Linked DNA regions of Macaca mulatta. The protein of the gene in region 2 purifies or fractionates together with the protein of the main gene of each other region. This does not show direct contact. Links are inferred from orthologs where the notes say so. Each region holds a gene or a part of one and is shown on either strand. Other genes may lie near its edges.

Region 1 (5,113 bases), on a different chromosome or scaffold from region 2:
TACAAGCTAAAATTATAGCATGTAAGATTAACTGATGAAATGTATTAGATTACAGAGAGAGGTTGTAGAATACCATTTCCTGACAATCTTTATATATGGGATACTAGATGACTTCTCAAATTGGCATGTTTGCAAAAGTTTGGGTAGGTATGCATTTGTAACTGGGATGGAGATCAAGTCTTAACCCTTTGAGCAGTAAGCACATATAGGATTTATGTTGGGTACAGCTCCAGAGATCAGATGTCCCAGATCTCTCCATAACGACATGTGCATTTATCAGAATACACTGCCCCAAATTTTGGTTGAGAAAATATAGCCATGATAGAAGATAAGCTGGCATCAATACTAGGCACTGACTTCATGCTTCTCCAGATAGAAACAGGACAGTGGTCTAAAGTCTTGACCGGCATGAGGAGCTCTATCAACATTTCATTATTTATATGAAAAAGTCAGCAATCTCCTGCTTCTGTAACTTCCTAATTCATTGATCTTTGGGCAGGACAGTGTAGAGACTAGATCATGGCCTACCATAGATGTGTAACAGTTTTGATCTGGATTTAGATTGCTTACTTATCTCACCAGTCACTTGGCCCAGTAACATGTGGCCTGTGTGGCACCAAAGGAGCCCAAGTAGGAAGTCCAGTGCCAATAAAAAGAAAATCACAAGTGACCTATTCCTACCTATTACATGTTCTTCACATGAAAATGACAGCACAGGCTAGGCGTGATGTCACATGCCTGTAATCCCAGCACTTTGGGAGGCCGAGGCAGGCAAAATCACCTGAGGTCAGGAGTTCGAGACCAGCTTGGCCAACATGGTGAAACCCTGTCTTTACTAAAAATACAAAAATTAGCCAGGTGTGGTGGCAGGCGCCTATAATCCCAGCTACTCAGGAGACTGAGGCAGGAGAATCACTTGAACCCGGGAGGCGGAGGTTGCAGTGAGCCAAGGTCGTGCCACTGCACTCCAGCCTGGGTGACGAGTGAAACTCCATCTCATAAAAAGAAAAAAGAAAATGACAGCACATTTTTACATTCATGCCTTTTACTGGTCCTACAAGTTTCCTCATTTTCTCTGCATTTTGTCCCTCTCTTTATGTTGTACCTCAATTCATCTTTTTTTTTTTTTTTTTGGTCTCTACTTCTCTGCTTCCATTCTCACCCTTTTTCCTCTGTGTTTTTTAATCTCTTGCAGTCCAGTAACTTGTGAAGAACTGAAGTTAGGAGTGTGAACCTGGGATAAAACACATGGCCTTACTGCTTGGGGCCAGCTCTTCTGAGCTTGCAGGCTTTTTCCTATCTCTCCCAGCCATGGCTTGGGGTAGAGAGCATGCTGGAAGAAATCTCTGAGTAAGTGGCTGCTATAATAAACTGACAGCTGCAGCTGCTCTCTGTGGCTCACATTAAATGCTGTGGCCTAGTATACGCATACCGAAAGTCAAGCAAAAATTGACCCACACTTATCATAAACTCTTTAAAGGAGTGTAAAAGACGAGCCCCTTCTGTGGAGATGGCTCTCACCGTCACTGATCTGCCTCATGTCCTGGCTATTTTGGATACTGTGGATCATTTCCAGAAGGATTTCTTTCTCTTGCTCAACAGCAGTTGCTGCTTCTCTCAAAGCTTCAACCCTATAGAAATTGGGAAAACAAAACGGTTATTGTATGCAGGATGTTCTTCCTATTAATTTTATCTCTCATTCAACCCAAATCAAGTTTAAAGATCACCAAACTTTTCAAAACTTCTTCATTTCTGCTTTAAAATTCTTTCATTTTTCTATTTTTTATCCACTTGCCTTTCTCCTATTTTCCTTCCAGCTCATGAGGCAATTCTATTTAGTGTTTATCTAATTAATAGTATTTGTTTTTACAAGATCTGTATTATTTGTATATTTTGAATTTATATCTCATTCTGTTTTTATTTTTTCACTTAGCATCCAGGATCCTATGTGTACTTTTTTTTTTTTTTTTGGAGACAGTCTTGCTTTGTCCCCCAGGCTGGAGCACAGTGGCACGATCTCACTGCAACTTCTACCTCCTGCGTTCAACTGATTCTCATGCCTCAGCCTCCGGGCCCAGCTAATTTTTGTAATTTTAGTAGAGACGGGGTTTCGCCATGTTGGCCAGGCTGGTCTCAAACTGCTGGCCTCAAGTGATCTGCCCACCGCAGCCTCCCAAAGTGCTGGAATTACAGGTGTGAGCCATCACACCCAGCCCCCTATGTGTACTTTTAATCAGTTGGTGCTACATATTTTATAATACTCCATGTGTATACCTACCTGCTTTTCCTTCTCCACTCTCCCAGAGATGGACACTCAGGTTGTCTACCAACTTCTTATTACTACAAATAACACTTCTATGAATACATCTCCCCTTTGGATCTTGGTGAGGATTTCCTTAGGACATATACCAGGACAGAATTGCTGAGATAAAGGGTATGTGTACTCCGCTTTTGACTTAGTACTATGATTATTCTGCAGAATACCTGTACCTGTCCATTCTCCACAGCAAAGCACAGGAGTCCCCATATCCCTACCAACACTCCGCATTTGCCAACTTTCTATTTGCTGCCAGTGTAGTAGAAGTATGTCAGGTTAACCTGCGTTTTCCTAATAATTTCAGACATCTCTTTGTATCCTTGTTAGCCTATTCATAGACTTTTCCTATTTTGTTTTTCTATTTTTAAACAGGAGTTACTGTCCCCTTGCTGATTTGTATACTCAAGAAATTCTTGTTGGTTACAGACATTGCAGCCATCTCTCATCCTCTCTTATATGAACCACGTCTGGGATGTCTGGCACTAAAGAGAGACTCTTATTTTGATGTGATCCAATTCATCTTTTTTTTTTTTTTTTTTTTTGCCTTATAGCTTATGCTTTTGAAGTTTTGACCTAAGGTCTTCCCCCTACCCCTTGGTCATATTTTCCTATATTTTCTCTTATTAACTTTATAGTTCTACCTTCCTTATGTCTTTAATCCACCTAGAATCAACCCTTGTATGTAGTTAGTTAAGAATGTTGTTTTTTTTCAAATAGCCATTTTCCCCAACATTATTTACCAAACAATCCATCTTTCCCCTAGCGAATGCGTATTAAGTTTCTCTCTAAAATCTCTATCCCATGCATTAGTGTATTTAACTGTTCTTATACTAGTGCCCAGTTTTGTTTTGTTTGTTTATAGCACTAGCCTTGTACTATACTTTAATATTTGATAGAACATGCCCCTCAATCTTCTTTAAAGATAACTTAACTATTTATGGACTTTTACTTCTCCATATAAATTCTAGGGTACGTTTATTGTGTTTCTCAAAAAATGAGAGAAATTCGACATCTTTATAACGTCATTCTGTTTAAGGGCATGATATATGTCTCTTCATTTATTCAGATCTTCTATAGAGTTCTCATGTATTCTTCATAGTAGTCTTTGTAGATATTGTTGCTCTTGTGAATTTGTATTTTCTAGTTGATTTTTACTGGTTTGAGAAGTGTTGTCTTTGTAGGTTTATCTTGTCACTGGCGACCTTGATTTACATGTATTCATTTTAGTGTTCAGTCTGTTGATTCTGTTGGTTCTTCTAGGTAAATGATCATATCCATATCATCCATAGTTTTTATTTCCTCCTTCCCAATCCTATTACTTTTCTATTACTTTTTTTTTTTTAAGAAAAGGTCCTTCAGTACTGTATTAAACAGTGGCAATGATGGGGGTATCTTTGTCTTTTCCCAAATTTAAGGGAAAGTCTCTGTGGCTTTTTTGTGTAAAACCCTCATCAAACTATAGAAGCGCTACTTTCCCCACTTCACTCAACTGCACACACATGCACTCACACTATACATACACATAATTGTGCCCAGTCACTAAAAAACTAAGCTGGGGAATCATGAGAGCAAAATAAAAATATACATATTGTATATTTAACATGTTGTATACTTCCAGGGTACCTTATTATTATGAATTACAGTAAGTTGCCAACTTTTGCAAAATGAAATAGTGACAGACCTATTCCCAGTATTTGGATGGTCTTAGAAGTTCATGAGAGATCTAATCCTAACTGCTGTCTTAAGTGTGCACAGAAAGAACAACTTCACCAATGTTTTAGCATGTTCAATTCCATAAAAGGATCTTCCCCCTACCCCAAGCACACACGTGCCTTTTCCCCTTCGGTTACCCACCTGTTATACCCCAAAATAGTACTGACAGGCTGTAACATCACAGGATATCTTTATTCTTCAAGATATTAAATATATGTCAAAGTCTGTGTTTATAAGAGCCACTAAAAGCAAAGAACTGGGAAGAATCTCATGTGACAAATTTGGCTAGAGAACACAATCAAAATACAATATTCTACAAAGTAACAGTAATGCAAGTATCAGGCCCTATTCCAGGACCATTCACTATTTACTTAAACATTTTACATTAGCAATCTCTCAGAAAGATAAACTAGGGCCCAGAACATAGGAAAGAGACTGAGTTGGCACTAAATATTTATGCTAAAAGCACAAACCATGACTCCAATATTTAGACAAATGACACAGGTGAATCATTTGATTGGTAAATGAGAAGATGCTGAAAGAAGAGATTAATTTTTCAACACTTCTTCGGCTGGTATTCAATTGTAAGATGATAAGAGAGAACAACACTATTCTGAAAAGGAAGGTTTCATTTACGAGTTACAGCAATAAGTTCATGTTCTTAACAAAATAGATAAAAAAAGACATTCTAGAAAAAAATAATAAGCCTATCATTCATATGAAAAAATATTTTATCATTAAATGACACCAAATAATTAGATGGAACTGCTAAATTTTGTGTTTTTGGGACCCCCCCCCAACCCCACAAGGCTTTTTAAAATACATAATAGAAATTACCAGGGCATTATCCCTGTGAAAACCAGATTTTATCATTTATAGACCTTCTTATATACATTTTTATGTATACTTTTTTCATTTCATGCAAAGGTAAAATGTCATTCCCAGAATGTAAAGATCTCAGGGTTTATTTGGCAACATGGGCTTTTCATGTCCGATTCCCTCTTCAGGTAGCATTCTTTCTCCCTGACCCTTGTCTACTGGGTGATTCCTTTTCAAAACCCAATCACTGGCAGGAATTGTTTC
Region 2 (5,113 bases):
AAAAAAAAAAGAAAAGAAAAGTAAAGGATATGTTCCACACTGCCCTGGAATGACATGGTTATTTTGAAGTTGCTATTAATACATTCAAGATGCAGGGATTGGAATGGGAGAAGAGGGAGAAATTCAGGACTAGAAAGAACAGGATAGGAGCAACTATTTTTCTGGAAACTATTAGGACAAGAAATATATTTGTTTCATCTAACAAATGTTTACTGAACATTTACTATATGCCACACATTCCGGCTAGATGGTGAGCCTTATAGGGACCATGAACACAGACCTCAGCTCAAGGAATGCACAAGGAACTCAAAGAAACATAGAAGCAAACTAGCCATTATAGTACTGTATAGTGTAGGAACAAAGGTAAGCATGGAAGTCTTTTGTGAGAGAAAGAGCACCCAACTTAACCCCTTAGATTCTGGGAGCAGAGGATGCTTGAACTGAGCATTGGACCAGCAGCAGGTAGGTATTAGAGCAGGGTGAGAAACAATAGTGTTCCACAGAGTAGAGCTCAAGTATACAAGATAATAATAGAGCAAACTGGGCTGGGTGGGGTGGCTCACACCTATAATCCCAGTACTTTGGGAGGCCGAGGTGGGCGGTTCACTTGAGGTCAAGAGTTCAAGATGAGGCCGGGCGCGGTGGCTCAAGCCTGTAATCCCAGCACTTTGGGAGGCCGAGACGGGAGGATCGAGACTATCCTGGCTAACACGGTGAAACCCCATCTCTACTAAAAAAAAATACAAAAAAAAAAACTAGCCGGGCGAGGTGGCGGGCGCCTGTAGTCCCAGCTACTCGGGAGGCTGAGGCAGGAGAATGGCAGGAACCCGGGAGGCGGAGCTTTCAGTGAGCTGAGATCCGGCCATTGCACTCCAGCCTGAGCGACAGAGCGAGACTCCGTCTCAAAAATAAAATAAAAAAAATAAAAAAAAAAGAGTTCAAGATGAGCCTGGCCAACATGGTAAAAACCCATCTCTACTAAAAATACAAAAATCAGCTGGGCATGGTGGCGGGCACCTGTAATCCCAGCTACTCGGGAGCCCGAGGCAGCAGAATCACTTGAACCTGGGAGGTGGAGGCTGCAGTAAGCCAAGAATTTGTGCCACTGCACTCCAGCATGGGTGACAGAGCAAGACTCCATCACAAAAAGATAATAATAATAAATAACAATAATAGAGCCAACTTGGAGAAGTGCATATACATTTTAGGGGTAGACATCAGATTTAAAATTACTTATTTTAAGCTAAAGAGTTTGGACTTTATGGTACAGGTTATGTACAGCAATTTAAGAATTTGAAGCAGGGAACTGCTATGACCATATTTGCAGAGTTACAATCCAATTTGAGAAATAGTGCAAATAGGCTGGGCGTGGTGGCTCACACCTGTAATCCCAGGACTTTGGGAGGCCGAGGTGGGTGGATCACCTGAGGTCAGGAATTCAAGACCAGCCTGGCCAACATGGTAAAACCCTGTCTCTACTAAAACTACAAAAATTAGCTGGGTGTGGTGGCAGGCGCCTGTAATCCCAACTACTCAGGAGGCGGAGGCAGGAGAATCACTTGAACCCAGAGGCGGAGGTTACAGTGAGCCGAGATCACGCCAATCTGGGTGACAGAGCAAGACTCTGTCTCAAAAAAAAAAAAAAAGTGCAAATAAGAACTCAAGTAATAACTGTATTAATGCAGTACCATTATAATTTATAAATGTATATATTTATATGAACTTATAAATGTGTATTTTTATTAACATAAAGGTATACAAATTTATTATTTATAGTGAATTATAAATTATTTTCTTCTAATACCTTTTTGTTATGCAATTATTACTCCATATTAACAATTTTAGAACAAACCCTATATATAGGGCCTAATGTGTTGAGATTACCAATGCAGATCTTATAAAGCACATTTGTAAAAGCAGCCTCATAGTACATAATCCAGTTAGCACTTAAAATTGACACTTTAATTCTAAGTAACTAAAGTTAGAAAATATAATCACATCCATATAAGAGGTATAATACCAGTACTATCTTAGAGGATTGTTATAATAATTATTTTTAACGTATAATAGGCATTAAACAAATGTTAGCTATTATCTAGATATACTCCCTATGATCAACCACATAATTATTTGGTCTCAGGATTTTAGGTCCTACCAACTTACCTCTCGTAAACTAATTTTAGCAGTATAAATTATATTTGATCCATCTCTTTTAAATTTTGGATGATCTTTGTCTTTAATGATAAAAACAATGTCTGCTGGAATACTATTTGGTGTTTCATCTCCTTCTCTTGGAAAAGTAATTTTGGTGCCTTCTTTCCACCCTTTTTTAATTTCAATGGTAAGAATTTTGTCCTCGGATCTGTAACTCCTTCCATCAGCATTTAGCCTTTTTCGAGAAATCTTCATCCGTTTGGTACAACCACTATATATCTCTTCAAGTGATACTCTAAGTTCATGAATAACTGGAGGATCTTGTTTGAGGCGGGATGGCCCCACAGAATTCCTGTCTCTTGGATATCCATTCATGCTGAAACCAAAGGCACTAAAAGGATCACCATCTATTTCCATTTCTTCAGAATCTCTACCACCACCCATTCGTCTTCCAAAGAAAATTTCAAAGGGGTTGGACCCTCCGAAAAATGCAGCAAATGTAGCATGAGGATCGCCATGAAAGGTGTACCGGAAGGTACCTCCTTGTCCATCAGTGCCTCCTGCTCCTCCTTTCAACCCTAATTGAAGAGATAAGCATTATTAGAAAAAAGCTTGCAACTCAAGTTAAACTTTCAAAAACTGTATTGCTAATAAACTTTGGCTAACTTACATTAAAATGTATTAATATTGGCCAGAAATGCCACTTTAAATACAGAACAGCTATAAAACTCTTAATGATTACATCCTAAGTTAAATTGTTAGTTTTCAAATTCTTCCTCCAAATTAGCACTCTTTGTTGTTGTTGTTGTTGTTTTGTTTTGTTTTTGAGACAGAGTTTCGTTCTTGTTTGCCCAGGCTGGAGTGCAATGGTGCAATCTCGGCTCACCGCAACCTCCGCCTCCCGGGTTCAAACGATTCTCCTGCCTCAGCCTCCCGAGTAGCTGGGATTACAGGCATGCGCCACCACGCCCGGCTAACTTTGTATTTTTAGTAGAGGCAAGGTTTCTCCATGTTGGTCAGGCTGGTCTTGAACTCCCGACCTCAGATGATCTGCCTGCCTCGGCCTCCCAAAGTGCTGGGATTACAGGCATGAGCCACTGCTCCTGGCCAAATCAGCATCTTTAATAATTTATTCCTGATTCTTTGTTCCTCAGGTAAGTAAGAAAAATAAAATAAGGTCAGGCGCAGAGGCTCACACCTGTAATCCCAACACTCTGGGAGGCCGAGGCAGGCAGATCATGAGGTCAGGAGTTTGAGACCAGCCTGGCCAACATAGTGAAACCCCGTCTCTACTAAAATTACAAAAAATTAGCCAGGTGTGGTGGTGGGCGCCCGTAATACTAGCTACTTGGGAGGCTGAGGCAGGAGAATCACTTGAACCCAGGAGGCGGAGGTTGCAGTAAGCCAAGGTCGCGCCACTGCACACCAGCCCAGGCAACAGTGTGAGACTCCGTCTCAAAAAAAAAAAAAAAAAGAAAAGAAAAAAAAAGAAAAAGCAAAGAAAATTAGGAACTTCTTATCTTATAAACTACTGATCTGGCATGCTGAAATATATAAATTATATAAGTATCTACTTATAAATATGTAAGTTTTTAAAAGATGTCAGTTGGAAGGTCTTCAGTAATTGATACAAAGTATAGAACTTAAATATTTAATTTATATTATAATCAAACAATATATATAACATTTAAAAATATAAATATATTAATAAAATATATTGTAAAATACAAGATACCACATTCATACTGTTTATATATAAATAAAATAGAAATACGTAAAAATATAATGTAATAAAAAATACCATATTCATTCTAACTAGTTTTATTTCAGATCATCTTTTACTGTTTAAGAATTAAAATAGGGCCAGGTGCAGTGGCTCAAACCTGTAATCTCAGCACTTTGGGAGAGCGAGTCGGGTGCATCACTTGAGGTCAGGAGTTCGAGACCAGCCTGGTCTACATGGTGAAACCCCATCTCTAGTACAAATACAAAATTAGCTGGGCATGGTGGCACATGCCTATAATCCCAGCTACTTGGGAGGCTAAGGCAGGAGAATCGCTTGAACCTGGGAGGCGGAGGTTACAGTGAGCCAAGACTGAGCCATTGCACTCCAGTCTGGGCAAAAGGAGCAAAACTCCATCTCAAAAAAAAAAAAAAAAAAAAAAATTAAAATAGAACTCTGTGGCAGAGAGTAAAAAAATTCTAATAATGAAAAATAGTTTTTTAGACACGAAAATTGTCATTCCTTCTCTAGATGCCAAATTTGTTTATCTAGGCATACCACATCTTAGCATTAATTTCAATGCTTATGAGAAGAAGACTGAAATCAAGAGCTGTAAACTTTGACATGTAAGGCCTCTATATGGGTTATTTCTGTCTCTTGTGAACAATCCACCTCAGGCAACAATATAGTGACTTTTTGACCCTTTGCTTAAAGGTTCCACTAAGTAATATTTAACCCAGAAAAGATTATATTTGAAACAACATTTTCCACTATGTGTGAAAGAAATGTTCTACTAAAACCCAAAAAACAACAGTATGGTGATCTTTTAGAGGTCAATACTGACCAAGAAACAAGCAGGAAAAGAATCTAAAGATCATAAAACTATGAAAAATTCAACAGGTTAAGCTAGGAGATTCTAATATCTCCAAACAGTGAGTGATTTGAAGGCAGGAAATATATTCATTTTGCATTGCTCAAGCATACAGGGCTGAAAATGGTAGGCATCCACGCTTAGTGAATGAAGGGAATGAACTAATTCCTAAAGTCCTTCTAAATCAAAACTAAAAAAAGTATCTTGCATATCAGTACAGAGAAAAAGGCAGAAGCAAAAACAATGTAAAATATAATCACACATATACATATATAAGAGATTTAACAATTTAAAATGCCACTAACACCAGCATACTTTAAAGAAACTTAGTTTTGCTTATGTCTTATTCTACATTTGGCTTCTTC

What was found.
Region 1: the proteins of DNAJB4 (region 2) and BAG2 purify together in Homo sapiens (affinity purification with mass spectrometry; 4 studies listed by BioGRID and IntAct, with this or other methods). This does not show direct contact. The link is inferred for Macaca mulatta from reciprocal best matches to the Homo sapiens genes DNAJB4 and BAG2.

The regions. Positions count from the first base shown.
Region 1 is NC_133409.1:125,108,818-125,113,930, forward strand, and holds part of BAG2 (BAG family molecular chaperone regulator 2), read right to left. Parts: intron 1,632-5,113; coding exon 1,522-1,631; intron 1-1,521. UniProt on the Homo sapiens protein: Co-chaperone for HSP70 and HSC70 chaperone proteins. Acts as a nucleotide-exchange factor (NEF) promoting the release of ADP from the HSP70 and HSC70 proteins thereby triggering client/substrate protein release.
Region 2 is NC_133406.1:162,537,045-162,542,157, forward strand, and holds part of DNAJB4 (dnaJ homolog subfamily B member 4), read right to left. Parts: intron 2,733-5,113; coding exon 2,164-2,732; intron 1-2,163. UniProt on the Homo sapiens protein: Probable chaperone. Stimulates ATP hydrolysis and the folding of unfolded proteins mediated by HSPA1A/B (in vitro).